Diceros bicornis minor: one gene and its partners. The protein of the gene in region 3 interacts with the protein of the main gene of each other region in a biochemical or structural test. Links are inferred from orthologs where the notes say so. Each region holds a gene or a part of one and is shown on either strand. Other genes may lie near its edges.

Region 1 (7,575 bases), on a different chromosome or scaffold from region 3:
AGGAGGATTGCAACGGATGTTAGCTCAGGGCTAATCTTCCTCACACACACACAAAAAAGTTAATTTCCACAAAAAAGAAATAATACTTATTAATATGAAAACATCTTCACTATCGCTTAAGACAAGATTTGGTTTCCTCATATTTCTAACATAGATCTTTTTGTTTTTCTCATAGAAAATGCAGTGCTTTAGAGTTCCTGGGACACAGAATGTTAGAGTGTCACATAATTTAAGATCACTTGATAAGAAATACACTATTTAAAGAAAACTTAATGTCCTTGAAAAGCATTTTAACCTCAGAAACAAGAAAGGGGAAAAACACTTCAAAATTTTAATAAAATTAATGGATCAGAAATTCCAATTAATAAGTATTTCAGAATTTAAAAAGCAGGACTGTTATCTTTCTGTCAAAGAAAATACATGTGTGGAATGCAGATACTGCAAGCAGGAGAAGAAATAGAACAGATAAGAAGAAAGCTATAATTGGATTGAATGCCTGGGCATTGTTCACCTCTCCATCAGACTCATTAAAAAATTAGATGGAAGACGTCATTCCTGAATAATACAAAATATGCCTTTCAATTATTTTATGCAAAAAAACATTATTTTCAATAGATGTTATTAAGAATACATCAAAGAGAGAAATGTTTGCAACTCATACTACAGAAATTACGCTGAACTTCTTTATATATAAAGAGCTCCTACAAATCAATAAGAAAAAGACCAAAGGCTCAACTAAAAAAATGAACTAAGGTTATTTATAAACAGATAATGCAAAGAAATGATACAGTGGCTCTTGAATATAAGAAAAGAATGCTCAATCTCAGAGAAATACAAATTAAAACCACACTGGGATATCTTTTTTCACATATCAGATTTGCAAGATCAAAAAGCCTGATAAAATACTGTTGGCAAGGGCGTAGAGAAACAGGGAGTCACACACATTGCTGGCAGGAGTATAAACTGGTAGAACTCCAAAGAAGTGCAATAACGTAGTGACAGCCATCAAAATTACAAGCGCACATCCCCTTTGACCCAACAACTTCACTTCTGGAAATAGTTTCATATACGCAAAATAATGCAGGTACAAGGCCTTTAGCTATAACACTGAAATAGCAGAAGTTTGGAAACAACCTTAGTCCATCAGTAAGAGACAAGGTAAATAACTTGTGACATCCTTACAATGGAATTCTACGCAGCTGGAAAAGAACCAGGAAGTGATCGCCAAGATACATTAAGAAGAGGAATAACCCAGATAGTATTCCACAATTTGCATAGAATATTGTGTATGTGCTGAAATATGCACTCTCTGGAAAGATACATAAGAAAGATACTGGTAACAATGGTTGCCTCTGGGAGGAAACTGGGTAGCCAGAGACAGGCGTGGGAAAGAGATTTTCAAAATGTTTAGCCTTTTGTACCTTTAAACTTTTGAACTATGAGGCTATATTAGTTTTGTTTTTTGTGTGTGTGTGAGAAAGACTGGCTCTGAACTAACATCCAATGCCAATCCTCCTCTTTTTGCTGAGGAAGATTAGCTCTGAGCTAACATCTGTGCCTCTCTTCCTCTATTTTGTATGTGGGACACTGCCCGTGTAGGTCTGCACCCGCGATCTGAACCTGCGAACCCCGGGCCGCCAAAGCAGAGAGCGCGAACTTAACCACTACACCACCAGGCCGGCCCTTAGCTATTTTTTTAAATAAATAAAATTTAAAACTAAGAAACAGAAGTTTAAAAACATATCCCTCATTGGTAAAATGAGTGAAACACAACCCTAAGACTATTGGACTGTTGCCCAATCTAGCATAATACAATATACCCTCCTTATTTGAGTGATCACAACTTCATAACAGGACAGACAAATTTGGAATAAACTCTAGAAACATACATAGCTAAGAGACCCAAAGTAAAGTTAATTCACATTCAGGGACCCTGATAAGACACAGTTTGTTTTATGAGAAAACCAGGACCAGCACAGATGTGCAGAAAAATCTTAAAGTTGCTCGAGTTAACCTAGAAAATGGCAGGCTGTGTATGTTTTGTGCATTTATTTATTTCCTAACTTGAAGGGTAAGAAATCTATGTCCTGTAAGGAGGTATCTCTTGCCGAAGCTCTGCTCCTTCTGCACTGTGTGGGTCAGGCTTGTTATGAGGACACAGTTGCAAACAAAGGCTTTTCTCCACCCTCCATCAGACTGGTAACAGATGACAGGGCTCGTCCTTCAATGAAGGAGCCAGACACTTCCCCTGCCCTTACCGGTGAAGGGCGCTTTTTGGAGAGAGAAACCTGTTGATCAGGCACTTTTCAGAGACCATTCCTGTGTATTCTCTGTACTTCACCTAAAAGTATGACTGTTTTCCACACTGTGCACACCTAGGGGGCGGGGTGATGTACATAATCCACCTATTTGCCTCTTGTCTTCTCATCAGGGAGCAGACAGTAAACCCGACCCTTCAGGGAACGGAAAAACAAATCATTCAGCGCCCAGCTCAGGTGGCTGATGAAGGCGGCGCCGTCTTGAGCGTCTACCTAAGCCGGTCCAGCTAGGCCTGCTGGGGGTGCAAGAACCAATACAAGTTCAAGCACGTTTGCTCGCCTACTTCGGGCGAGCAGGTCAAGCCCTGAGAGTTTTAGAAAGCAAGGGCAGAAGTTTCCGAGCACGCCTGGCACACCTGTAGGTACAGGTGCCGGCGGGTCAGCGACCGCCTCGCATGCGAGGCTGGATACACAGCCGCAGGATGGCAACTGTTTACAGGGCAGTGCGTCTGGAGGAAAGTTGAAGTGTGTCTACCTGTTCGAGAAAGTGGGAGAGGGCTGACACTTCTTCCTCCGCAGTGTCCAGCGTGCACCCCCCACCCCGGGCCCGGGGCGCGCCCTCCGCCTGCCCTCGAGCGTCCCAAGGTCACCTGCCGCTCCGGACGTCCCCATCCACCCCGAGCTCTCACCAGAACAGCAGGTTGGCCCCGACGAAGCCGAGCAGGCTGCGCAGCGGCCTCTTCCAGCTCAGGAGCTCGTCGGCGCGGCAGCCCAGCCACAGCACCGGCTCCCCCAGCAGCCAGGTCACGGCGGCGGCCACCCCGCCGGCGGCCTCCTCCACCTGCCGCCCCGCGCCGGCCGCCACCGCCGCTTCCTCCGGCGCTTCCTCCTCCGGCTCCTCCGGGGGAGCCTGGGGCGGCGGCGGCAGCGGGGGCGCCTGCTCCTCGGCAGCGGGAGCGGCGCATCCTTCCTCGGCGTGCTCCGGGGGCGCCGGGCTCGCCATCTTCAGCGGCGCTTCCAGGCGGGGACGGGCACGCGCGCGGGCGCGCCTGGGTGTCGGCGCCGAGAGGGCGGCGGGTCCCGGCGCGGGGCGCGCACCGCGGGGCGCCAGCGGCTGGGTGCCTTGTGACGTCAGCCCCGGCCGCGGCGGGGGCGCCTCCCGGGGGAAGTGGGTGCGGCCAAGTTCGCGCGGGGGCGGGGCGGGGCGGCCTCCCCGCCGTGGGCGCGCGCTGGGCGGTGTCCCGGGGGAGCGCGGGCCCCCTCGATGGCCTCGCCCGGGACCCAGGGAGTGCGACCCTTTTCCTCTTCCCTTCCAGCTGCGGGGGATGGGGAGGGCGAAGTAGAGGACCGCCGCCCGGTTACTTATTTAAAGAGAGTCAGAGCCACGGGCAAAATCAACTGGACATCTTCGCTTTCTCAAGCCAGGGCCACCCCTCGCCCATCCTGCACCTTGGAGGGCGTGGATTTCAGCAGCAGATTTCAGCCCCCAGCCCCCCGGTCCACTGCCCTGGCAGGGCCAGGCTGCACGACCATAGCAGAGATCTTTAGGACTCTGGGAATAACGTGATGATGTAAATGTTGGACTGAGAAAGGAATTAAAAAACATTTGGGGTCAATTCAGGAGCGTCTGGCCCTCTCCTTTTACAAGTGAGGACACGCCAGGCCGCAGCGAGGGGCGAAGGCGTGTCCTCTCTCCACCCGTGGGCGGTCATCGGGCTCAAAACGCACGGCGGTCGGTGGGAGGTGCAGGTGAGCGGGGAGCTGAGGAGGGGGAACCCCTGCAGAGACCGGACGCTTTGCACGTGTCAGACAAGGTTTGGCAAGCCTTGACTGCAGTTACCTCAGAGCCACTGTGGTCTCGATGTCACAGCAACACTGGGACAGGGCTAAGGCGGCCTTGAGGGGGACACAGGGAATCCTGAGACCTCCCATACCCGGCCTTGCTGGCCCTGGGGCTTCTGGGTGCGTGTGGGGGGAGGGAAGAAGGGAAACTGTTCATGCTCGCTTTCACTATTTGCATTTTTAAAATGTTCTATTCTTTAATCCGCCCTGCCCCGCCTCCCCCCTCCCCTTCCCCCCCCCGCCTCCCCCCCCCCCCCCGTTCTTACTTCTCTCTAGAACAAAATGCCCCTTCCCCCATCCTGAGGGTGCTACCTGTGATGCATCAGGGCATCTTGTATCCTCTTGGGGTTTACTACTGGCAGCCAGCCTGCTTTCACAAGATGAATGGGGCTCATTCCCAGAGCGGTTAAAGCCCCTTGTTTTAAGGGAGCCTCTGGGGAATGTTCTATAATGCTCGTCTGGGTGGTCATTATACATGTGTATACCTCTGTGTATACATATGTAAAAATTCATTGATCTGTACGTTGCAGGTGTGTGCACTTTACTGTATGTCTTCCCTCAAAGGGGTATTTTCCTAGAGTTTTCCCAAAGGTTTGCTGAGCACCTGTGTGTCCAATGCCTTGCTAACCTCTCTGGTTGTGGCTTCCACCCACAGGAAGCTCACAGTCCAAGCAGGGTCCAACTGCCATTGTTATAACTGCTGTGCTGGAGATAATCACTCAGGGCTGAGAGTCCCTCCTCAAATCGTACATCCAACATTAGGGAAGGAGTGGAGGAGGCTTTTGGAATAGATGGCATGTGTCCTGAGTTGTAAGGAGGAGGGAAGTAAAGTGGGGATTGGGGGGAGGTGGCAATAATTTCTTTTGGGAGATGAACATGGGAGAAGTTGTGGAGTTTCAGGTGGAGGCGCAGTTCCTTATGTGTATTTGCAGCAGATCACCAAGGCCTTGGTGGATCCACTAGTGGCAGAAAGTTTGGTTTTTAACCTGAAGGCAATGCAGGCTCTCGGGCATTTCTGATTTGCCTTTGAGGAGAGTCATTCTGACAGCCTGATAGAAAGCGGCCATGGAGGCAATGAAAAAGTCAGGTGGCAACAACTCAGGTATTTTTTTTCCACAAAAGAGAGACTATCTTTTCCCAGGTGTTGGTTCCACCTCTTAGCACTAGAGGAGGAGCTTTTGAAAGATAAATGATGCTATATTGTGTAATCTGGCCTTTGTGTGGCACTGGATACAGCCCAGGGGTTGCGATATTCTAAGATTCGTCACTGGACTCTGTGGCTGGAGGAGAGAAGGCAGGGCAGAAGAGACGAGGAACCAGACATCCCCATTGTCTAAACCAGTGTGGATGTGCTTCCAGAAACATGTTTGCAAGATTCTTCACGTTCTCCTTCTCTCCCGGCATTCTAATTATTGTTGTCAGGATCTGAAAGATGTTGACAACCAAGACACATAAAAGGTAAACTCGAGTTGCTATATGTGGTTTGCAACACATCTTTATTTAATGATAAAGCTCCCTACCCACAGCTATGTGAAATTTTTTCTTTCTCTTTGTTAAAATTACAGTAATCCCCCTTACCTGTGGTTTCGCTTTGTGCGGTTTCAGTTACCTGCAGTCTAAAAATATTAAAGGGAAAATTCTTGAAAGGAACAGTTCATAAGTGTTAAACTGCATGCTCTTCTGAGTAGCGTGATGAAATCTCATGCCATTCAGCTCCGTTCCATGCAGGATGTGAATCATCCCTTTGTTGGATCCCCAACCATCTACATCATCTGCTCCTGACATCCAACCATTGGCATCATCATGGGTCAATGATCCCCCTTCTGACATACGGTCAGAAGGTCAATAGTAGTCTAACACTAGGTCACAATGCCTACATCATTCACTGCACTTTATCTCACCACGTAGGCGTTGTATCATCTCACAGCATCGAAAGAAGAAGGGTGAATACAGTACAATAAAATATTGAGAGAGAGAGACCATATTCGCATAACTTTTATTACAGTATATTGTTATAATTATTCTACTTTATTATTAGTTATTGTTGTTAATCTCTTACTGTGCCTAATTTATAAATTAAACTTTATCATAAGAATGTATGTATTGGGCCGGCCCTGTGGCTCGGCGGTTGGGTGCGCATGCTCCGCTGCTGGTGGCCGGGGTTTGGATCCCGGGCGCGCACTGACGCACCGCTTCTCCGGCCATGCTGAGGCCGCGTCCTACATACAGCAACTAGAAGGATGTGCAACTATGACATACAACTGTCTACTGGGGCTTTGGGGGGAAAATAAATAAATAATTAAAAAAAAAAAGGAATGTATGTATAGAAGATATATATATATATGTATGTATATATATGAATATATATATATATATATATATATATAGGGTTCAGTACTATCTGCAGTTTCAGGCATCCACTGGGGGTCATGGAATGTATCCAACACAGATAAGAGGGGACTCCTGTACTATGGAAAAAATGCTACACAAAACTGGTTTGCATAAAAAGCTGGACTGATTGTTCTAAACTGTCTTTTCCACCTATGACCTCTAATAATTACTGACAAATAATGTTACAGGAGTAGATGCTGGTATAGACACATAAATGGGTGTTACTGGGTGTTCTTTCTTTGTCTAATTATCTTTGTGATGCCTTAAGTGATTTATTCAGTGCTAAGACTACATAAAAATAATGCTAATGATGGTTAAAATAAACCTTGTCCCCTAATTTCAAGAAGATGTCATATTTCTAAATGTGGATAACCTTACTGTTGAAGATTCTCTTCTGAATTTTGCATCTCTGTATATTGGAAACAGAGTGATTAACACTAATGAGCTAGATGATTTGACAATGTATATCCAGGGGAAACAAGGAAACTGGGAGTGTGTCAGAAGAAAAAGAGAAAGAGAGAAAACAGTTGTAGCCACTGAATCTAAGAGACAGTTTAGAAAATAACACAGCTCTGGCAAAGAAAGCCAGAATGCACATAGGAACTCTTAAAAGAGGCCACTCACCTTTCTCTTCCAAAAGTAGCTAGAAAGCTTGTAATAGGAGAGAGAAATAATGAATAATTAATTCCCACTCCAGGAGGCCACACAGGCAACATCAAGCGAAGCCTTATAATGAGAGAGAGATGCCCCAGTATTACTTTTTTTTCCCTAAAATGTTTCATGTTAGAATCCTACTGTAGGTCCATGACTCCTTAAATCAAAAGAGCGATGCAGACATGGTGTTTTTATTAGTCCTGCAATAGATTATATTTGTGCTGATAATTTTATTAAAGCAATTCTACCCTCCTGTTCTTAACCATATCCTCTACTTCTTGCTCCTGACTTTCCCTAATTTTCTTGTCACTGAGCCAAGAGAACCTAGATAGTTCACTCTATGCAGAGAGAAATAGGAGTATCACACAACAGCAACATGGAGGAAATGGGAAGGAAGATTGTGCCTGGATTCCAAGGCCCAGCTCACAGA
Region 2 (8,260 bases), on a different chromosome or scaffold from region 3:
GAAATCCATTCAAAGTTTTTATCACTGTATATGCCTCTTCTTTTTCTCTCCCCCTCAAGAAAAGTATGAGCACAAGAACGTCTTTCCAGAGGAAGTCCCACTGAATTCTGTCTTACCATTACAATATTCCAGCTCAATCAGCAGGGTGGTATTGTCCATGAAGTGATTGTAGTAGGCAATGATGTTGTCATGCTGCAGCAGCGCCAGAATAACAATCTCATTCAAGGCATCACGACGTTCCTTCTCTGACAGTCGGGTCAAATCAACTTCCTTCCACACAACCAGTGAGTCATCCTACAACACAGTAATAGAGGTATCGTGCTTTCCTCTTGCTCGGCAGAGAATGAATCCACACCCGGATCTGTAAGCCTAGAAAGAAAACTTCCTAGGTGGGCAGAGAGTGACTCCTTTTATTTTTTCCTTTAAACAAAACATGAACAGACTTTAAAGGTTCTGCATACAGTTGAGTATCATAATTTACTGCAGGACTGGGGCTAGTAAAGCATGAAGATGCTGTTATATTGTTCCTACACTTAACTTGCATGATGTCAATTCCAGGTAAAAATATAGGATGGAGGGAGATCTCAAAGATTCTATTGAGGGACATTATGACAAACTGCTAATCATGATGAGGACTGTAGTAGGGCTAGAATATTAGAGAAATAGAGAACTGGAGAGTGGTTATCTATGGCTGACCATGCTTTCTTGTAAAACAGAGATATTAAACGACTCATTTTATAAATTCAGATTTCTCTAATGATTTTCGTTTATCATTTCTGGATAAGAGTAAGTCATGTCTAAAGGCTCTGAGTTCACTTCCCTCACCCTGCCCCATTCTGCAACTTTGTATCTCCTGTCATGTTTATGTATCACATGTTTTCCTCTATTCATGAAAACTTACCTGCAGTTCCCAATATCCACTCTCTTTTATAATATCTCTAATTCTTTATTGATACAGCTCCCCAGCTCAGGGGCATCCCCACCTAAATAAATCCTTTTGAATGGCTCTGCTAGGCCTTTAAAACTTTTTTGGGAAGATTCTGATAAACCTTCTACTGTACATTTATTCAAGGCAACCATTCCATTAATTTTCAGAGTTCAAACACTGAAATAATATTTGTCCATTATTTTCCATTTATATATACATACAACTTAAATACTATTTGTTTGCTAACAGGGCTAACTTGTCTTCCCATTGAAATAGAAGTTTCTTGAGGGAAAGAGCTGCTTCTAATTAAACTTTTGTAAATTTACAGATCTAATGAACATTTCATGATATGGATAATGCTATGCAGTTTTGGGGAAGTATAATCAAATTTAACTTAAAACAATCTCAGTAATCAAGTTTAACATGATAATAATGGAAAGGCACAGGTAAGGAGAGGTTCTAGTCCAAGATTTACTTCTAATTAAGTGGGCAAGTCACTTTAACATACTTAGTTTCTTTAACTATAAAATAAGAATACCAATACTCATCGCCTGTTTCTCATATTGTGAGTACAAACAAGAAAACAGAATACTAATGGTAACTCTATCGACATACATTAACATTGCATTGGGATACAAAAGAACACTTAGATATTCTCAGGGCCGACCCGTGGCCTACTGGTTAAGTACACAGGCTCCATTGCTGGCGGCCTGCGGTTCGGATCCCTGGCGCGCAGATGCACCGCTTGTCAGGCCATGCTGTGGCGGCGTCCCATATAAAGTAGAGGAAGATGGACACGGATGTTAGCTCAGGGCTAATCTTCCTCACAAAAATAAAATAAAATAAAATAAAAAAAAGATATTCTCTTGCAACTACCCTTCTCCTTCTCCATCTTTCAGCCTTAAAAGTATGCTGTTTTGGAACACATACCAGAACTGTAGATGGATCACTGATGGATGAATCACCTTCAGCAACCCCACCAAGTTCTCATTAAATGCTTAACTGTTCTAATGCTAGAGTTCTAAGACCTTAGTGACCAAACCCAGTTTATGGTTGGTTTTTGGAAGCAGAGTCACCACTACAGGGTTTTAGAACCGTATACATTCTGAACTTGGGGGCCAGTGATCCATGAATCTCTTCAAAGGATGTCTATGTGCAAGAGTGGGTAGAGGGGATTATGCTTACATTAGGTTCTCAAAAGAGTCCTTGTCCCCCTCAAAGGTAAGAACTAATGGCTTAGAATATACTAAAAAGATATTTGCCACGCATAAACACTGCTGGATAAACACCGATGAATAAATCAACACACGACGATCTTCCGAATGATCTTCAAGGACAATCTCCAATTGAGCGTTCATACCGGAACTTGAAGATAGCGGCCAAGACAGCGGAGCTGCTATCCATGTGGGAATTGTGGAGCTATGCCCCTCCTCCCCACCCCGACCTTGGAGAGCTATACAGCACGAGAGGTAGTTTTCACAATACCTCACATTCGTATACCACTTTAATTTACAGTTTGCAAAGTACCTTGGTTCGAGTCTCAAAATAACCTGGAAAAATAGATTATTTTTAAGGTAGTCATCACTAACTCCAATTTACAGATGGGGAAACTAAGGCTTAGGGAAGGTTCAATGACTTGCTCAGTTCCCCAGGTTATACAAAAACGACCAGTTAGTAAAACCAGTGATCTAACGAAATCCTAGCGCAGGTGAGTTGGTGAAGACCTGAGACACACACCCTGCGGGCGCCCAACACTAAATGAGGACGAGGCGCGGACGCGGGAAAGCGGGGCGCTAAAGAGGGGCTCGGCGGCGGGGGCCGGGGGCCGCTACCTCGGTGCGGCGGTACAGCGTGGCCTCCCCGAAGGCGCCGCGGCCCAGGACGCGGATGGGGATGTAGTGCAGCTCCTCCTGCTCCGCCGCGCCGCCGCCCGCTCGCGGCCCCGGACCGGCGCTGGGCCCCGGGCCCGAGTCCCCGCCACCCCCGGACTCGCTCCCAAAGTCCGAGTTGATGGAATCGCAGTGTCGCTCGTACTCGCCCAGCACCGACATGGTGGCGGCCGCGGGACCGGCCTGCGTGTCCCGGGCGGCGCTGGCTGTGCTCAGACCCTGTCGCTTCAGACGCCGACCCGCGGCTCCGTCAGCCCCGCACCCCCGCGAGGCTCCATAGTGGCTCCGTCCCCTGACCCGGAAGCAGTTCTGGGTGCTTCCGGCCCGCCGGGGTTTCCTTTGCCCTCGCTGGCTCGCTTACTTTGTCTCGGGGCCGCGGTTTCTCTCCCTCCGGGCGGGCCCGGAAAGTGAGCCCTGCGGCGGGGTTGGCGGGCGCGGGTGGGGACCGCGTGGAACCGAAGGGCTCAGGCAGAGGCAAAGGCGTCACCCACGGGTCTGTAGACCTTTCCCCCAATTTCTGGCCAGGTCCCCCAGACAGTTTCCAGGTCCCTAGGGTGTCCAGTCTCATCTTGGCTCCAGGTCTATCTCAATAGCAGTGAGTGATTAGGGAAGCAGTCCCTTTCAGTTGGACAGCGCTATTTCTTTAGAGAGAGAGTATAATAAAGATATTATTTCTTGTTGTTAGTGACCTCCAGTCAGTCCCACTCTTAGCGACCCTGTGTACAGCAGAGCAGAACCCTGCCGGGTCTTTTTGCACCATTCTCTGACCTTCCAGCGCTACATCAGACAGTGCTCTCCTGCTGTTCATAGCGTTTTTGTGGCCAATTTTTTCACTCTTTCCTAGTCTGTCTGAGTCTGGAAGCTCTGCTGAAATCCTGTCCACCATGGGTGGCCCTGCTGGTATTTGAAATATTGGTGGCATAGCTTTCAGCATCACAGCAACATGCTGCTGATGAGAACCGACAGACTGGTGGTGTGGTTCCTTTACTGGGAAGCGAACCCTGGCCACAGTGGTGAGAGCTCTAAATCTTAACCACTAAAGGACCAGGGCTAGCTAGGGGAGGGAAGATCGCTCCCATAAGATGCTCCCTGGCCTCAAGTCACTAAGAGAATTGCAATGCAGTGAAAAAACGTGTTCCATCAGTTATGTCACCTTGGGCAACTTCACATCTCCAAGCTTGCTTTTTAATTGTAAAATTAGGGGAATATGACCTACATCACAGGGATAACAGCTAACATTTATTCCGTGTTATGTTCCTGGCACTATACTAAAAGGTTTTCTTTCCATGTATCGTCCCTCTTAATCCTCATATTATTCCCATTCTATAGAAGGAACTGAGATACAGAGAGGTTAACGTAACCTGCTTAATGTTACACAGCTACTAAGGGAAGCCAGGAGTCAAACTTAGCAATCTGGCTCCAGATCTTTTTCACAGAACAGGATGTGTTGGGGCTTAGAGAAGGTCATGTGGCTGGCGGCCAGGGTGTATGTAGGGTAGAAGCAGAAGACGGAGCCACAAATGTTTTATAGAGTTTGGCTTTTCCTGTGAGCAATGGAAAATTATTAGAGATTTTTAAGCAGGGGAGTGTATGATTAGTGTGACTGTATGTCCTGATTTGCTGGGGAAGTCTCCATTTACGCCTTTTTCCCTTAGCATAATTGAGAGCTTTCTTTTGCTTAAGTGCCCAGCTCAGACAATAAATGATATGGTCACCTTACTTAAGACCAAAGTTAAATTTTACAAAGAACTCTGATGACAATGTGGAGGACAAAGACTGGAGGCTGGGAGACCAGTTAGGAGGCAATTTATATTCTAAGAAAAGACGAGGCACTGAGGTACTATCAGTGTGAGTGGAAAGGAGGTCCAGATTTAGGAATCTGTCTGAGGAATATTTAGAACTTTGTGATCAGTTGGAATATGGTTGGTGAGGTAAATGTGCGAGTCCAGGAGACTCACTACGTAGATAGTGATAGCAAATATAGGAGGAAAAGAATTGGTCGAATGGGGTGAGGGGTGTGAAGGAATAAGTTCCCATTCCTCTGACCTCTCTACAGTTTACCAACGTTCCTTTTAAAGGATGATATACTACACTCTGCATAACATTCCACGTCAGGTCTGAATAGGAGAGCACAAGGGGACTCGTCTCCCTTGATCTGGATCCAATATTTCTATTGGTGTGCCAGCCTTCATAATGATGGTCTGCTTATACCAAGCTCGCACTTAACTAAACTTTTTTCACATCCAATCTAATCCGAAGTAATACAGCTGTCCCACCAGATCACATCACTCCTTCTTTTCATCACAATGCTTAATAAAATACTGATGTCTTATTATGTTTACTTTATTGACTCTCTCATTCATCAGAATAAAAGCTCCAGGAGAGCCTGGATTTTACGCTCTAGTTCACACCTACATATCATCAGTACCTGGAAAAGTGCTAGATATTATACGCTTAAAAATTATTTGTTGGGGCCGGCCCCGTGGCTTAGTGGTTAAGTGCGCACGCTCCGCTGCTGGCGGCCCGGGTTCGGATCCCGGGTGCGCACCGAGGCACTGCCTCTCCAGCCATGCTGAGGCCATGTCCCACATACAGCAACTAGAAGGATGTGCAGCTATGACATACAACTATCTACTGGGGCTTTGGGGGGGAAAAATAAATAAATAAAATCTTTAAAAAAAAAATTTGTTGAATGAATATCAGGTCGTTATTATCTCATATATATAACATTTTTTAAACCTCAGTGCAAGACTGACTGACTGATAACCCCTGTTAAACTTTATTTTGTTGGTTTCATTCCAGGGTTCTACATTATACAGATATTTTTGAATTTGCAATTCATTCATTCAACAAACACTGAGTACCAACTTGTGCCAGGTACTGGGTTACAACAGAGAACAAAACATGGTTCCTACTCTCATGGAGCTTACAGTCCATGTTAATAGACAACTAACCAGGCAATTATAACTGTATAACTGCTATTATAAGGAAAGTAAAGATTCTAGAAAGGCATTTAGAAGAGGCATCTTTCCAAGTCAAACTTGCTGGGCTAGTGAAGGCTCCCTGGAGGAATATCCAAAATGTTAAGTTGGTGATGGCTAAATAAAGCAGGGAGATCATTCCAGATAGAGGCCATTCCATCTACCTCCTCCTATTAATCAGAAGGCATTTTGAGAAGAGGTATTCCTTCTTATTTATCTGGGTGCACTCCAGAGTTTAGCTCAGCACATTAAACAAAATACATGTTCAATAAATGTTTTGTTGAGTTAAAAGAATGGAAAAAGTAATTACTTAAAATCAGAAGCTCTGACTTGCATTTAGTAAAGCTGTATAGGTTTCAGCCAAAGCTTAAAAATGCATTCTTTTGGCACCTTTGCAATGAGGAACTAAATAGCTTTCTGTAACTTGGTTAGCCTGATATTGTTAATTGTTCTAGTTATAATGCGTAGATATAAGCTTAACAGACAGATGTCCTGTTCCATCTTAGAGAATATAGAACAGAAACACTCTTGCTCAGTTCTTTATTATACTGGATATAAATGAAACTAAACATCTGACCTTCGAATATTTACAAACCCAGAAACACTCAACATTCTAAACGTCTGATTTTAAAGTGCCTTTGATCAAAAATAGATTATTTCCATGTTATATTTTAACAAGTGAATAGTTAGGATGCTATATAGCAGAAGTTTCCACTTGTGAGTGGCAGATTCCCGGGGGCCACAGAGTTACTATAAAGATTAAAGAATTTACCAAAGTACCAAGCAGCTGTCCAATCTGGTAGCCATAGCTACATATGGCTACTGAACACTTAAATTGTGGCTCATTTGAATGGAGATGTGCTGTAGCTGTAAAATGCACACTGGATTTCAAAGACTTTATATGAAAAAAAGAATGTAAAATATCTCATTAATCATTTTCATATTGACTACATGTTGAAATACTATTTTAGATGTATTAGACTAAATACATTACTAAAATTAATTTCACCTGTTTTTTACTTTTTTTAATGTGGTGCTAGAAAATTTAAAATTACACATGGGGCTCATGTTATGTGGGACACCACTGCAGCACTGAATAAATAATAATTTGCCAAACATGTACTACCATTTAGTAAGAATATGATACTGTTAAAGACTATTAAATTTATGTTTTGTTGAATTCATTATTTATGTTCTCTAAAACATTAGTGAGAAATGACATTTTTTAAAAAAATTATTTATTTATTTATTTCACCCCCCAAAGCCCCAGTAGATAGTTGTATGTCATAGCTGCACATCCTTCTAGTTGCTGTATGTGGGACGCGACCTCAGCATGGCCGGAGAAGCGGTGCGTCGGTGTGCACCCGGGATCCGAACCCGGGCTGCCAGCAGCAGAGCGCGCGCACTTAACCGCTAAGCCACGGGGCCGGCCCAGATATAAGACATTTTTGATGTTAAAATATTTATACTCAAATGTTGGGAACCACTACTTTATAGACTATAGATTCATTGACAAATTTATTATCTGGTTTTTTTGGGAAATGGAGGAGAGGGTAAATAAGAGGCTACCAGTGAATGTGCAAAACACTTCAGGCTGACTGTTGGAAAGGGGCTTTATGAAAAACGTTCAACTGCAACTAAAAGGAAAGGAGAAAATGGCCTTTACCCGCTGGGATAGGGTTTTGCATAGATGTGATGGGCCAAAAAAGCAAATCTTGAGAGGTTCTAAATTGGGAGGGGTATTTTAAGAATGGAGGGCAAGGGAGAAGACCCTCTGCAGGAATAATGCCAATAGCAGTTTCCAAAAGAGAGAAGCTTACAGAGAACGCCTGGCTTACAGAACCCTATTTGGTCTTTCTGAAGATGTATAATTCTTATTATTTTTATATACATATCATATATAATTCACATATTTTATATACAAAATATAATAAACTTTTACTAGCTCACAGAAACTTGATCCATCTAGAGTAAATAACAGACGATATTTTTCCTCTAATTCATCATGCATAATCTGCCATACTTTAAAGCCGAGGAAGGGTGGGCCTCGTGGTGTAGCGGTTAAGTGCGTGTGTTCTGCTGCTGGCGGCCTGGGGTTCAGATCCTAGGCGCGCACCGATGCACTGCTTGTCAGGCCATGCTGTGGTGGCGTCCCATATAAAGTGGAGGAAGATGGGCACACATGTTAGCTCAGGGCCAGTCTTCCTCAACAAAAAGAGGAGGATTGGCATGGATGTTAGCTCAGGGCTGATCTTCCTCACACACATCCCCAAAAAACTGAGGACTATGGAGGAATTATTGCCAATCCAGCCAAAGAAGTACTCAAGAGTAACAGAAAAATACAACTAAAATGGTTTCTGCTAGCCTTTATTTGAGAAAACTTACACAAAAATCCCCAATCCAACACTTAGAAGTGAATCCGTATAAATCCATGTGCCTCTTTCCATTACACAAACAGAAAA
Region 3 (7,788 bases):
TAGAGGGCCCTTTGGTTTGCAAGGGGGGAGCCTGCTTTTGGTGAGGCTTGGGGCCTAGGGATGAACTGAAGAGCATTTGTCTATGCTTTAGAAGAAAAGAGCAGAGGAGTGAATTGTCGGGCTTTGCATGGGGGATATCCGAGTATTAGAAATGGGAGCCTCTAGAGAAGGCTTGGAGAAGCTGGAAGGCTGAGGTGGTGACGTCCTTGTCCCTTCCTCACCTCTCACTCACAGTCCTTACTTCACTCTGGCCTTCTTGATACTCTCTCGGTCTGCCTGGCAGATGGGGCTTTCCAGTGTTCTCTGCCTTGCCCTGGGTACCAGGATAAGGAGGCTGTTCAGAGGGATGAGGTTCTCTGCAACTTGTGACTTGGCTAGTAGAGACAGAAATGGACAGGTGGCTGGTTAAAATAGGCCTGGTGGCCCCTAGCCAGAGGAACTTAGCTGACTTGACAACCCCCGGATTCCCTCATCCTCTATTCCCCTTAGGCACCCAAGGACCTCCCCTCCTGACTTCTATTCCCTGTCCACTAAGGAATCTGAGGTTCTCAGTTCCCAAGTGGAGGTGATGGGAGTTGTCACAAAGAATCCCTGGGGTGGAGGTGGGGAGGGCAGTGCATTTCTTTGTTCAGGGTAGCAGCATAATATCATGATTAAGAGGGCAGGTTCTTGGGTGGGACTGCATGGGTACAATCCCAGTTTCACCACTTCATCCATTCTAATGTTGTGACCATCCCTGCTACAGTGTTCTAGGAATACAACCATGATGGAGACAGAATCCATGTTCTCATGGAATTTTCATTCTAATTGAGGAGACAAACAACTAAATAAGATAATTCCTAGCTCTATGGCCTTAGGCAAGGTATTTAACCTCTCCAAGCCTCGGTTTCTTCGCTTTTAAAACAGAAATGATATTATTGTTATTAGGGTTGTTTTGAGGATTAAATGAAATAATCCTAAATCAGTTACGTGGTGCCCAACATACGGTAACTGTTCAACACGCGCTACCTATCATTGTTACTGAGGAAGATTTCCTTGTCAAGAGTTCTAATCCTCTCCCTTGTTATTCTTAGGTAATTCAGTACCAAACTGTTCGATATGATATCCTTCCCTTATCTCCTGTGTCCCGGAATCGGCTAGGTGAGTTTGCTGGCTGGGAAGACTGTTTTAAGGTGAGGTAGTAGGGTTCAGGGTCTGGGCTGGAGGTTGGTTGGTGTTATCCCTTCCCGTTGTGGTTCAGGCCAGGTGAAGAGGAAGATCCTGGTGCTGGATCTGGATGAGACACTTATTCACTCCCATCATGATGGGGTCCTGAGGCCCACAGTCCGGCCTGGAACACCTCCTGACTTCATCCTCAAGGTGTGTGGTGGTGGGAAGTGATGAAATGGTTATGTCCATTATTCTGCTTAGACCTGGACTCCCTTTCCTGGTCCCAGAGAGTCTTGTCCCCGTCTCCATTTCTTGGCACCAGTGTGAGCCTGAAGGGGGGAAGCAGGCAGTGGGAGGGTAGGGGGTGTCCTTTAGGCCTGTGTTGTGCTCAGGACTTCTCCCAGCCTTTCACCGTTCCTCTACAGGTGGTAATAGACAAACATCCTGTCCGGTTTTTTGTACATAAGAGGCCCCATGTGGATTTCTTCTTAGAAGTGGTGAGTTTGCGCAGCTAAAGGGAGCTCTGTGATGAAGGAATGGTTTTAGGGCTCTGGGAATTTAGAGGATCTGGAGGAAGTAAGGGGTGAGGAGAAATGGGTAAGGGCAGTTTTGGAGAGGGGAGGTTGTGGGATGATTAGAAAATGGCTTTTGATAGTTTGGGTTCATTTGTTGTGTTGATGTAATTCTATTTTTCCACAGGCTTCCTGCTCTTTTGTTCTCACCTCTCTGAATCTTAAGGGTGTATGGTGCCTAAGACTCTGAGTTTGGGGGCGTTCAGAATTTTGTGTTCCCAGAGACATTCGATGTTGCTGAAAGGCCTGAAGGACTAGACTGGATTCCTAGTGAAAGGGAACTGTATGTCTAAATGAATGATCACCTCTTCTGACACCTCTTTCCTGCGATCTATTTCAGGTGAGCCAGTGGTATGAGCTGGTGGTGTTCACAGCAAGCATGGAGATTTATGGCTCTGCTGTGGCAGATAAACTGGACAATAGCAGAAGCATTCTCAAGAGGAGATACTACAGACAGGTAAGGGGCTCGAATCCAGGTCTAAGAGTTAGGCTTGGGAGGCAGACCACCAGGGCAGGATTTGAGTTTGAGGCAATTTGCCCTGGAATGGGACCTTCTGGGCATGAGGGGGAGGTGTATGGTATGATCTCTGTTGTGAGAGTTGGCTGCCCATGGGTGTTGTTGGGATTAGGGGAGCAGTCACAGAGCGCGAGTCTCCTTCTGATGCCAGCTCACCCTGCCTTCCAGCACTGCACTTTGGAATTGGGCAGCTACATCAAGGACCTCTCTGTGGTCCACAGTGACCTCTCCAGCATTGTGATCCTGGATAACTCTCCAGGGGCTTACAGGAGCCATCCAGGTATGGGGAAGGTGGTGAGTCTGGCAGGACCAGGAAATGGTTTTGAGGAGGTATTTTGAATGCATAGAGCTGGGATTCCCTGGTTTACTGTAGGTCAGGATGTAAATTGTTTCTCTTTTAAATGAGACATCCCTCCTCTGCCACATGTCCACTTCATACATTAGATTTCCCATATCAAACTTGCTTCAGGTGAGACACAATGGCAATAAATTTTGCTAAAAGTCTCACACTAGTATGAGATATGGTGATTAAAGTTTAATTTTATTTTGGAGAATAAATCAGGAAGGTTTTACTTAGGTTGTTGAGTTTGGGCGGTGGGGGCAGGGTGCGGTTCAGTGAGGTATGTATTTAAAGAATGATCCCTACCCCGAAATAAAAGAAAAAAACAGTGTCTCTCTTGAATTCTTTGTTTCTTCTCATGTGTATCTTCACTCAACCTAGACAATGCCATCCCCATCAAATCCTGGTTCAGTGACCCCAGTGATACCGCCCTTCTCAACCTGCTTCCGATGCTGGATGCCCTCAGGTAAGGGAAGCTAGACATTTAGATTTCCGAGGCAAGGAGGAGGTGGGGGATCCCAAGAGGGAATAAAAGTTTGTCCTGTTTTACTTAACTTATCTCTCTTCCCTTAAGAACTTAGCATTTGAACCCAGGTCTTCTTACACTAAAGCTTATCACTTTTAGCCATTGAATTTTGGGCAAACTGAATCTCAGTCTCATCCAGTGAAAATGGTGATCATTTCTGCCCCACGTCTCCAATGAGGCTGCCTTACAGTAGTGTTGTGAGGATATCAACTATAAGGACTCTACCAATGCAAGTTATTGTCATCCCAGGTTCACCGCTGATGTTCGTTCTGTGCTGAGCCGAAACCTTCACCAACATAGGCTCTGGTGACAGCTGCTCCCCCTCCACCTGAGTGGGGTGGGGGGGAAGGGAGGGTGAGCCCTCAGGATGCCGTCTGATGCCCTGTCAAATGGTGAGGACTGCATGGGCAGGGTCTGCCCCTCCCACCCCTCTCTGCCCTGGGAGCCCCGCACTCCATATGGAGTTTGGATGGACACATGGGCCAGACTCTGAAGCAGCCTCACTCTAACTTCGTGTTCGCACTCCCTGGAAACCCTAGACTGGGACATAAGCCGAGACCTAGGAGAGCCGAAACAGTGTCTGTGGTGGAGAGACAGGACTGGCCAGAGTGAGAGACATTCGGTAATCTAGGAGGCTCAAAGAGAAGCCAAGCCAGCTTTGTTGTGATTTGATTTTTTAAAAACTCTTGTACAAAAATGACTAATTCTTCACTCCAAGGGCTGGGCTGTGGGTGGGAAACTGGGATTTTGGGCCACTGGATTTTCCCCAAACTTGTCCCCCCCTTACTTTTCACTCTATTTTCCCTTCTTCCTAGATTCCCTCAGATCTGTAACCACCTTTCTCTTTTTTTTCTTTCCTCTCTTTTAAACCATGCATTATAACTTTGAAACCAAAGCTGCCCTAGAGCCTTCTCTGGGGTTTGGGGAAATGAGGGGAGGGGTCATGGTTTACACCCTCCCTGTCCCCTAGGCAGAGGGGAAAGAGACTGCTGTTGGGCCCAAGAAGGGTAGGAGGAAAGGTGGTGCTGGCTTTTCGGGGATGAAAGAGTTAACATCAATATCTATGCTTTGGCGGGAAGGGTCTTAGTGACAGGATGGGCGGCCTGGCAGGGAGTGAAAGGACAGCTGCGTGTCCTGAAGGAACTTGAGCTTTAGCGCAGTATAACATAGAAGTATGAAAGGAGGAGAAACCTGGACGCCAGAACAGGCATATAGCTGGAGAGAGGCCGGGCTTCGCTTGGGGGACTGACGTGGACAAGCTAAGCACGGGCTGCCCCCAGGCGGCAGCTGCCCCGGGTCCTCGGCTCTCTCCGCTCCACCCCGGCGCTTCCACCCCTCAGCGCCCTCCTTCCGAAGCCGGCTCTACTTCCTCGCACCCGCCACGTGACGCTCCGCCCTTCTCCAAGATCACATGATTTTTCTGTTACAAATACTTAAAGTGTTCTTCCGCGCTGACGTAGTCCCTACCTTTCGGACCTCCTCTCCAGTCCCTATTGGTCCACTCATTCCTGGAACCTAAGCGTTCTGTGCGTCTCTCCAAATATATATTTCCTTTTTGTCGTCCGTAATTGCCGGAGACCACCTCCTCTGCTTGGGTACTACTTTGTTTTGGTGTCAACGGCCGCCTTTAGCGTACCAGCACGTTTTGTGAATAGCTATCCTTGTAATTATCTCTGCTCTTTTTTTCCTCTGCGTTACTTCCGAAAAGAACGTTTGGAGAATCAGGTCTCAAATTATTACCATCTCCTAGCCCTTTTCATTCCCGGCTTCGTGGGGGGAAGGTTGGGAAATGGGTTTTCAGTTACTTTCAACGACAGCTACGTAGCCTGCGTAGCTGACAAGTTGATTCCAAAGCGATTACGCTGACGGCGTGAGGGGGGGGCGGTCAGTAGGTGGTGCTACGCTAGCGGCGTTAGGGCTACTGAGCTAGTGGCGTAACATAGCAGGCGGGGCGACCCTTGATGGGCGGGGGCGGGGTTGGTGAATAGGGAAGTGGCGCAAGTCTCGGGATCGCTCCGCTGAATCCGCCCGCGCGTCGCCGCCGCCGCCGCCGCCGCCCCCCGTCCCGGCCCCCCCCCCCGGGTTCCCTCAGGCCAGCCCGGTCCAGCCCGGTTCCCGGGAGGATGAAGTTCGTGTATAAAGAGGAGCATCCGTTCGAGAAGCGCCGCTCTGAGGGCGAGAAGATCCGAAAGAAATACCCGGACCGGGTCCCGGTGAGGACAGTAGCCAGGGCCGAGGGCGCGGGCGCTGGCGCTGACGCCACAGCCTGGACTTGGGTCCGCGACGGGCAGCGCGGGCATCGGGCTGCCGGCTGTGGCGGGGTTGGGAACGAGGCCGAAACTGCTGTCTCTGGGACCGGAGGTGAAAGGAGTCGGGTAGCGGTAGAGCTAGAGGCGAGGGGATGTAGGTGGAGAGAGAGATCTTAGGATTTGTGTGGGAGGCTGTAGGGAGTTTGACAGCCTGAGCTTCACACGGTCGTTCCCCCCAGCTAGCTAGATTTTTGAGATTGAAGCTCTAGTCAGCCCAGACTAGTCATCCCCATCTGATTAAGATAGTTGTTTACTATGACGCCCTCTTCAGGGATCCTGGATATTTAGGTGAGTTCCAGTCAATGGGGTGAGGATCTGTACTCAGGGCTGCACCGCGTGTTCAGAGACAAAGAAAAATGAGTCGGGGGTAGGTTTGGGTGTTGGGAATATTGTTGCTCCAGCTCTTGACAGGTGGAGCTGTGAGGCTGTATACCTGATGTCTCCTAATTTTCATCTTTGTCAGGTGATAGTAGAAAAGGCTCCCAAAGCTCGGATAGGGGACTTGGACAAAAAGAAATACCTGGTGCCTTCTGATCTCACAGGTGGGAACCTGACCCAATACTCAGGTTTGCTTCCTGTGGGGGGGGTTGCAGTCTCTGTGGGAGGAAGCTCCACATATAGCAGCTGTTCTTTTGAGGGCATTTGTGACCTCTATGACTTTATCACACTTTGTATCTTTGGCAGTTGGTCAGTTCTACTTCTTGATCCGGAAGCGAATTCATCTCCGAGCTGAGGATGCCTTGTTTTTCTTTGTTAACAATGTCATTCCACCCACCAGTGCCACAATGGGTCAGCTATACCAGGTATGGTGACCGGGAAGTAGTGGAGGCTTTTGAGAGGAGTTAGAAGAGTTTGAGGGGAAGAACGTTTTAGGTCAACAATTCTTGGATTAGCTGGTTTGTTTAGCTCTCAATTTTATCTTTGGCCTTAAAATTTCCGGATTGCTCTGGATTGGGGGTTTGGACGGGCCAGTGGGAGTAGAGAGAAGGGTGAGAATAGTGAGCTGGAGCAACTATTCTGATCCAGACTCTCCCCAGTCCCCTTCCCATTCCAAGGCAGCGGAGAACAGTCTGAGATCTTTTTGCCCAGGACTGCTGTTAGGGATACTACTGCTTGCCACTAGGGCCTGGAGCGAGGGAAGGAGTCAAGGCACTGGTTTTTGGGGTGTTTAGAAAGAATGGTTTTTGAAGAATGTGTCTGGGCAGTGGGTGGTTCAAGTAACTAAAGCCCAGATGCCTGAGCACCATAATTTTCTGCTTTTACCCCAGGAACACCATGAAGAAGACTTCTTTCTATACATTGCTTACAGTGATGAAAGTGTCTACGGTCTGTGAAGCTGCTGCCCCTGAGGTGGGGGGTCCCATTCTACAGAGAGAGAGGTGGCCCCCCTTCCTTGACCTACTCTTCCTCCTTCAGGCTCAAACACCACCTCCATTATTCAGGACCTGCCCTTCCTAATGTTTGAGGCTCTCCTCCAGCCCGTCTTAGCAGGAGGGTTAATGGGGGAGATGGCCGCTACTACTTCTCCCTTCTCCTTTCTTCCCCCTTCTCTACCACCTTTGCCACTCTGCTTTAGACTTCTTGATTGTCAATCTCTGTCACATCCAGTGATTGTTTTGGTTTCTCTTCCCTTTCTAACTGCCCAAGGGGCTCAGAACCCCAACAATCCTTTCCTTTCACTACCTTCTTTTTTGTGGTGGATGGAAGGGACTGAATTGTGGGGGAAGGTAGGAGGCACATCAATAAAGAGGAAACCACCAAGCTGAACTGGATTTTGCTTTGTGTTGCTCCCCTCCCCCTTTTGTTTTTTACTCCTCACTGGTGGGGAAAGAGGTTGGAGGGATAGTAATAGATTTTGGTTTATTCTGTTGATGTTAGGCTTTTCCTTGTGTATAAATAGGGTGCTTTTGTTGTGATGGATGGAATACTCGGAGTATTGTTTCGTGAAACTTCAGTTTTACATACGTGTGTAGGGGGTCCTGATAAAAAGTTTTTTACTGTGGGTTCCTGTGGAGAAAGTTTGAAAGTACCTGCTTTAGAGAAACACATCCAAGTTTGTTATAACCTTTGGGATTAAGGAAGGGATTTTCGTGTGTGGGAGTTGGTAAAAGGACTCTGTCCTCAGTTGCATGTCACTTGGCCAGACTTTGTGCCGGCGTGTGGGATCCAGTGGAGTGGAATCCGAGAGAGAGAAGACTGGGAGGAGGAAGCCATTATCACCAGGAGAACTTCATCTCCCAGCAACCACTTCTCCGTCTAGCCGGAAGTGGAGCGGTCCCCCGGGGAAGAAAGAAGCCGCAGAATGAGGCAGTATGGTGGCCGAGAGTTTTAATCCCTTCTTCCCCTTCTTCTCTAGTCCCGCCCAGCCTACATTT
Region 4 (7,615 bases), on a different chromosome or scaffold from region 3:
TGGGTCAAGTCACATAACCTCACTGAACCTCAGTTTACCTGTGAAATGAGGGTGATGGCTTAGATCAGTAAGTTTTATATCTAGTAATACTTTTAGATCTAGGTCCTAAAAGTAGCTTAAAGGACCACGGGGTGTGGGCATGATGATAGTGGGGTACTGAGGGGATAGCGCTTTGGGCCCACCACCCTGTCTTTACATAAGAACAGCATTTGTGCAAAAAGATTCCAAACAAACCCTACTATTTGAAAATTCTTTTCAATTCTAAAATTTCATGATTCCAGGATTCTAAAGCAACCTTCCTAGTAAGTAGCACTTTGTTAACCTATAAGCACTTACTGTATGTTCTTAAAATTTTAGATAATTGCATTTCTTAAAGTTATTTATTTTCAAATGTTTCATTAATTTGGATTGAGATCATTCTCATTTGAGAATCTCAATCATTAAAATTTCCCAAAATAATGTCAATGAACACGTAGCTCACTTCTGGTTTTCAGTGACCCGTAAGGTGAGTCCAAGAAGGAAATGTGACGCAATAGTCCTCTTGTCTCCAACTTGGATGGGATACCAGAATCTGAAATTACACTACACTAGAAAAAGCAAACGAATTAGCTATTTTTTTAAACCCTTAAACTTGTTTGTATCAACCATTTCCCCCAATGTACAAATTACAATTCGGGGTCACTTGAATCTATTAAACATAAAAATCTTTTCTAAACATGAAACATCAAGGAACAAACAACAGGAAACTCAGTTGATATTACAGACCTTTTTGCCCAAAAGTCTTACAATAGAATCTTTTCTGTAACTTAAACTCTGAACTTTGTCATTACATTTGATCTTTTTGTTTAAAATGATGCCAATATTATAGTTTCTGATTCTCGGGGGGGGGGGGAACACAAGGAATTTTATAAGATATTGTATAGTTTTATTAATTTGTTAAGACTGTATAATAGTACTCCAAGCAGCTCTCCCAAGATCTCTACAACATTCTAGCACAACTACATAAAAAACTTCAAGGATGGGAAAAATAAGTGTTATTTCTTTTCTTTTTTTTTTTTTTATTGACGTACAATTGACTTGATTTCATTTAGCAGTATGCCAGGTTGATTTTTAACAATGGATCCTCACATATTTATTTGTTCCTCAAATAAGCAATAGTAAGTAAATGGCTATACTTACAGAACTCACAGTCTAATGGTTTATTTACTGAATAGATAGCTGTTAATCTTTCTTCAGCATATCAGAGTGCTTAACAAAAACCAAAACAAATCATCCCAAACCCTTCATCCTTGGGGAGGGGGGAAGAGAAAGGAGTTATGTGCCAAGAACTCTTTTAAAACCTTTAATAACAGGTCATCGACTCACCTATTTTTCAAAACAACCTTACAACTCTATCAGGTTCGTTCTTTCTTTTTTTTTTTTTTGAGGTCAATATCCCTTCTTACAGATTTGGAAATTGAGGTAAAAAGTTAAGTAACTTGCCCAAAGTTACACAGCTAATAATTAGTGAAACAGGGTACAAACAGGCACAATCTGGCTCAAATTTTAGCTCCCAGCCACTACCACTACTATACAGCTTCTTAATCTACCTTTCTCTTTAATATAAGATCACAACTGAAACAAGAGCAGCTATTCAAAAAATCAATCAGGATCATCTTTACGACAATATTAAAGAGCAGCTGAAATTGTAAAAACACTGTGTATTAAGGGGCATAAAATGTACTGCACATGTAAATAAGTGTACATTAAGTATAATTTGACCAGTAACTTTAATATAAATTCTAATAAAAGTATTACACATTCACACTTGTAACACTACATTTTGAAAGACTAGGAAAAGTACAACTAGAAACTTCTTCCATAATAACCTTAAGCCCTGGTTTTAGGACCTGTCTGACTTTGGGGGAATTTGTCTCTTTCTTATCCCCTTCTGTACTCTGCTAGTTAACTACCTGCTTATTTCTGCCCAGTTCCAAAATTCCAAATTTACTGATCACTGGCATCTTCTTTTGTAGTAGTTCAAAGTTTTCAGGAGAATTTTAACTTGCATAGCACAAATCACCTGTGGTGTAAGCCAACTTAAGTGATGAATGTTTTTTTAAATGGAGAAATAAAACATTAGATAGAAAAAGTCATTCTAGGCAGTGAAATAGTAAGGAACAGAAAGACAATGAGAAGTGTAACAATTTGTGATTATTATATTAACTTACAACATGTTATCAATTTATGGTGACATATGGAGGTTTCTAGGCACATGAGCTGAGGAGACAACGGACTAATCAACATCCCGAGTTTAAGATGTTCCACATATTTAACCCTCGTGGCAAAGAGCAAGAACAACAGGGGAAACTGTAGGGCAGAAATGCATAGATATGACATGCATGTGGAATGAGGGAGGGATGTTATGTAGGTTATAAGGATGACACAGTGGCACAGGAAAGGTTTCTGGGCGCGACCAGCTCGTTGCAGTACCAACACGGTTGTGTTTATTTACACTTGTAGCCTGAAAGAAAGCCAGAAAGCTCCAAGTGGACTATGAAGTTAATAACACCGAGGACACAGGAGAGTACACGCAGCTGAACATCTGGACAGGCAGATCGCTGCCTGGGCCCCCGGGGCAGCTGACCAGACCCAGGTTACTCCCCCTCCTACGGTCCTATTTGCGCACAAAGAACCGGCTGCTTTAGGTCAGTCCTCCGCCTCCTTCTACCCTAATTACCATAGCCTTAATTTCGGGATCGCTAAGGCGACAGGATGGGGTCGAGAAGGGAGGGAGGAGCCCGGGGAGGTCGGAGTCTGCGCTGGGGAGGAGGCTGACCTCCCAGCGGAGGCGCCGGCCGGAGCGGCCACAGGAACCCCAGGCCGGCGTCCGCGCATCCGCGGCGGCTTCCGAGCGCGGCGCCTCTTGCCTTCCGCCGCTGCCCCACCACCTCCGCCTCGATCTCCGCCTCGGCCAACACCGCCCCCCCTCAGGCCCCTCACAACGACGCAGCCTGCAGCCGGAGCCTCGCGGCGGAACCCCACCCCGCCTCGCCCTCGGTTTCGTTCGCCCTTCCAGGGGCCTTTCTCCCCTTCTTCCACTCCTGAGCGCCCTGAAGCCCCTACCCCAGAGCTCGGCTTTACTACCTGGATCCGCTTCTTGTGTCGCCTGCGTTCCGCCATGTTGGCCGCTCCGCCCGCTTCCCTCTGACGTGGAGCGAGGAGGGGGCGGTGGAAACCTCGCGAGAGCGCGCCGCGGGCCCGTTATGTAACCTGGCGGCTAGCGCCCGGGACGGGGGCTGCTGCCGAGAGGCTGGGGGCCGCTGGGTCCTGGGGGCCTTGGCGGCGCCTTCTCTGCCCTCTTCGCTCGGCTCCGTTTGTTGCGGTAACTGGAAATCGCTGGGACCAGAAGGATGTTGAGAAGTGGATCAGAGAGCAGGAGGGCTGGAAAGAGTCCTTCGTTCTGAAACCTGACTGAGCATCTGAATCACCTGGGAAGCTACTAAAATACAGATTCCCGGCCCCACCCCCCTCAGGGTTAGTACCTTTGCGGTGGGGTCTTTCCTAGAGGGATTTACTGAGATCTACGGAACTCTAGACGTCCCTAACTGTGGCACTTCCAATATTCTCAACGAGCCTCGCCCACTTCCCACGTGTAAATTCTTTTAACCCCATTTAAAAGATGAGAAAACCGAGATAACTGAGGGGCAGAGATACGAACTGATTTATCTAAGGTCCCACAGTTGGTAAAGGGCAGAGCCGAGATCTGGGCCAATTATCTTTTTCCACACAATGAACCGGGTAGTACGGCTCATCTAAAACAAACTTCGGCTTCTCCATTCCAGTTTTCACATTGCTTCTCCAAACTCACCTTTAGAATCCGAGAGTCCGAGAGAACCCAAGGAAGTACAAGCAACTAGTAAGATGAGTAGGAGAAAGGTTCCAAGAAGTTGGGCGTGAAGAAGACTGCAGGCTACTTCAAGGAATTGCTATTATAACTATTGTTATTTTAGAGCCACCTAGGACAAAGAGAATGGGCTTAAATTGCTAGTAAGTGTTTAGATAGGAAGTCCCATGACTTTATAGAGATTTTAAAGCATTTTTAATTGTGGAAAATACAGAAAAATAAGATGAAGAAAATAGGGCCGGCCCCATGGCTTAGAGGTTAAGTGCTTGCGCTCCGCTGCTGGCGGCCAGGGTTGGGATCCCAGGCGCACACCGACGCACCACCTCTCTGGCCATGCCAAGGCCGCATCCCACATACAGCAACTAGAAGGATGTGCAGCTATGACATACAACTATCAACTGGGGCTTTGGGGGAAAAAATAAATAAATAAAATTAAAGCTGGATAGCTCTTTAAAAAAAAAAAAGATGAAGAAAATAAAATTTTGTAATTCTACCACCCAGAGATGTTATCAGTTTATTGTCTAGTACTTAGTCCTACTTTGTATGTATATGTGTGTATAAATATGTATATATATTTGTATTTATATATTTTCCCCTTACCCAAATTGAGATCATACTGCATATGCTATATGGTAGCCTTTTTTTCACTTAATGCTTATGTCGTAAGCATTATTATATCATTAAAAGACTCTTCAAGTTTTCAATATTATATATGTAACCTAATAGCAATTAAATATGTAATTAAGGCAACTCGTGGCAACTTGATGCCTAATCTTTTATAAAATAAGATAATGAAAGTTCTTTTTGGGGCTATGCAATTCTGCACTCCAGGGACAGGATCAGCAAGCCATTTAGCTCCTTTCCCCTCTATAATCTATAATTAGGGGGTGTCTGGTCAGAAGGAGGGTGAGAAAAAAGTGATAATTCTTACCAATTAACCTAAAACATAATATAGAATATGAAATATCTTTATTTCCTCAGTCCCTCTCCCTGTCCAAAATGATGGATCTGTTTTGTACTGTTTTATTTGGAGAACACTGGATTCTTTTCATAGGAGATCTGGTCAATAAATGAAAATATTATTGCATTTAATAGATACTGCCTGCTAGATGCAAAATGTTAGGCTAGGACTATGATGGGGAACAAAAATCTTTTGTGGACAATGACTCCCTCTCAAGCTCCTGCCCTACCACCTTTTTTCTCAGAAGAGCTTTAATTTACTGTATCCATGTTCTCACTGACAATCACTCCTTAGACTACAACAATTTGGTTTCTACCTCCACTGTTCATTAATAATTCTGGTCAAATCCAATAGCTTCTTTTCAGCTAGCATTTTATTCAGCGTATGACAATATTGACCATTCACTTCTTGATTTATTGTCCTTTGGCATTTATGATATCAGTTCTTCCTTCTGATTTCTCTTTGGTTCCTCTCTCTTTGCCCAGCTCTTGAATGTTCCTGGCCGCCATGCTTTCATGCTCAGCTTCTTCCCTTCTCTTTGCATTATGCAATCTGAGAATTCTCATTCATGCTTTCAGCTTAAATCCAAAATATAGCATAAAAGTTATTTCCAGCTGTCCTCTGAATATCTCCACTGAATGTCCAACTAGAATTACCATTTCCCCAACAAAACCTGCCCCTTTTACTGTATTTTAAAACTGATAACTGCATCATTGTTCACTCAGTCACTCATGCTAGAAATCTTGGAGGTATCCCAACCATGCCTCTCTGCCAGTCACCAATCTGATTGATTCTACAACTGAGATGTTTGGAATTCTTCCCTTCCTCATCATTCCTACTGCCATTGCTTTGATCAGGTCTTTATCATTCCTACCCGAACTATTGTTGCAAGAGCCTGCTAATAGTTGTCCCCAGCTCTACCCTCCCTACACTGCAGACTGTCTTCTACTCCCTTGTTTACTTCCACCCCATGGCTCCCCAATTGTGTACAGCAGCGTTAATGATGGCTGATGTTCACACACATATAAGTCAAGTGTCAAATTTCTCTGTCTTCCTTCCGTTTAATATTTATACAAAAATAGCTCAAACACTCTTCCCAGCACCCCATTTATATCATTGGTGGTGGTTGTGGGGAGTTTCTCCTAGCCACTTCTTGCTCTGATTTTGCTTTGAATTTGCAGTCTCACTCCTGACATTTGACTGTTACTTTCCCGAATGAGGAGCATTTCCCCCTTCTTTTCTTTTGCCAAAGCAAAACTTCACTTTGCCCCTGGGCTCTGTCACTTTTTCTTTCTAGGGCTCCCTCTGAAACCCAGATTCTCCTGCGATACGGAGGAGAGAAATTAAAGTCTTCACTTTTTACTGGATTCCTTAGGGCATATAAATTTAAAAACTCATTACCATGCTCTGCTAAACAAAGGGTTCTTCAATCTGGAGCCCCTCTCTGGAGGACTGATGAATAGGTGGGGACTTGAAAAATTCCGTTTCCTGGGGCCTACCATCCCAGTAAGTGGAAGGGAATAGTAGACAGAAATGTATTCCCATTAATCAGACTTATGCAAACTGGAAACTGGTACATTCAGTTTTTTTTGTTTTAAATAACATTTTTTCTGGGTCCATTTTATTTTATTTATTTATTTATTTTTTGCTGAAGAAGATTCTCCCTGAGCTAACATCTGTTGCCAGTCTTCCTGTTTTTGTATGTGAGCCACAGCCACTGACAGGTGAGTGGTGTGGGTCCATGCCCAGGAACCGAGCCTAGGCTGCTGAAGTGGAGCATGCCAAACTTAACCACTACGCCACCAGGGCTGGCCCCATTTTGTATATTTGTTTATATAAACAAATATATGTGACTAAATCAAAAAGAAAAAATTACAGGGAAGTATAGCAAATCATGGCCCGGCTGTTTTTGGAAATGGTTTTTATAAAAGCATTTAAAAATATGTAGTTAAAGCTGTGATCGCAAAGAAAAATAAATAAATTTAATATAAATGTATTTAATGTAAAATTAAATACAGGATTCCTAATTTTATTTGAAAATTGATTTAATATTTTAAAATGAGTTGATTCTTTAGACTTCCACTCAAGAAATAGCATAAATAAGACAATTGAGTATGTATCATTGAAAAACAAGCATGGATATTTTGTTTTGAAAAAGAAAATTTTTTAGCATGCTAAAATTTTTAGCTTAAAAATATTAAATATTTTTATGTTTAACATAGTATAAAAATCACTTTGTCTTTTTAACTGAAAGGGTAGTTGTTTTGTCATTTCAAACAGAAATGTTAGCAGTATCATTCTCATTCACATACCGGGTACTCAGGGTTTCCTTATCTTTGCCTTGGCGCAGGAACAGTTTCAGTTTTGTGTGATACGGCTATGGAACCATCAGCCCCTGAGGCTGTGAAAGCCTAGTTGAGTTTACCAGAATGGCAAATAATGGCCATGAGTGACTCATGGGCACATGTGAGATTCCTGAGGATTCTAGAAAACTTCCAGAAATAGGGACACTGTTAAAAACTGGGCCTCCTACATATAGTTGAGCAAGTGGGAGTGAGGTACTACTGAGATTTAGATATTATATCAACTGGGCTTTATTTGTACCTATTAAGACAGTGAGACACCAAGATTCTACAGTTAAAACAATAATTTGTCCTCGCCTACTTGGTCTCCAGAGCACACACGTTAGTTATTTTCAACCTGTAAAACAAGCAGATCTTCATGAAATGTCTTCCTGTTGCAAATGAGTAATAAAAATTGCTTCCTCC

The links.
Region 1: the proteins of GABARAP (region 3) and RETREG1 are reported together in a solved structure, tested with the Homo sapiens proteins (2 studies listed by BioGRID, with this or other methods). The link is inferred for Diceros bicornis minor from reciprocal best matches to the Homo sapiens genes GABARAP and RETREG1.
Region 2: the proteins of GABARAP (region 3) and NEK9 form a complex in vitro, tested with the Homo sapiens proteins (2 studies listed by BioGRID and IntAct, with this or other methods). The link is inferred for Diceros bicornis minor from reciprocal best matches to the Homo sapiens genes GABARAP and NEK9.
Region 4: the proteins of GABARAP (region 3) and SEC62 interact in a test that uses a peptide from one of them, tested with the Homo sapiens proteins (2 studies listed by BioGRID and IntAct, with this or other methods). The link is inferred for Diceros bicornis minor from reciprocal best matches to the Homo sapiens genes GABARAP and SEC62.

What each region holds. Positions count from the first base shown.
Region 1 is NC_080759.1:48,282,255-48,289,829, reverse strand, and holds the start of RETREG1 (reticulophagy regulator 1), read right to left. Parts: upstream 3,290-7,575; 5' UTR 3,262-3,289; coding exon 2,948-3,261; intron 1-2,947. UniProt on the Homo sapiens protein: Endoplasmic reticulum (ER)-anchored autophagy regulator which mediates ER delivery into lysosomes through sequestration into autophagosomes.
Region 2 is NC_080763.1:23,073,730-23,081,989, forward strand, and holds the start of NEK9 (serine/threonine-protein kinase Nek9), read right to left. Parts: upstream 3,111-8,260; 5' UTR 2,980-3,110; coding exon 2,761-2,979; intron 295-2,760; coding exon 117-294; intron 1-116.
Region 3 is NC_080757.1:11,040,350-11,048,137, forward strand, and holds GABARAP (gamma-aminobutyric acid receptor-associated protein), read left to right. Parts: upstream 1-5,155; 5' UTR 5,156-5,227; coding exon 5,228-5,317; intron 5,318-5,876; coding exon 5,877-5,955; intron 5,956-6,097; coding exon 6,098-6,216; intron 6,217-6,681; coding exon 6,682-6,747; 3' UTR 6,748-7,180; downstream 7,181-7,788. Other genes in the region: CTDNEP1 (CTD nuclear envelope phosphatase 1), read left to right, coding at 1,074-1,140, 1,241-1,359, 1,575-1,646, 2,062-2,178, 2,407-2,518, 2,960-3,044, 3,354-3,414. UniProt on the Homo sapiens protein: Ubiquitin-like modifier that plays a role in intracellular transport of GABA(A) receptors and its interaction with the cytoskeleton.
Region 4 is NC_080754.1:51,870,210-51,877,824, forward strand, and holds the start of SEC62 (translocation protein SEC62), read right to left. Parts: upstream 3,210-7,615; 5' UTR 3,163-3,209; coding exon 3,127-3,162; intron 1-3,126. UniProt on the Homo sapiens protein: Mediates post-translational transport of precursor polypeptides across endoplasmic reticulum (ER). Proposed to act as a targeting receptor for small presecretory proteins containing short and apolar signal peptides.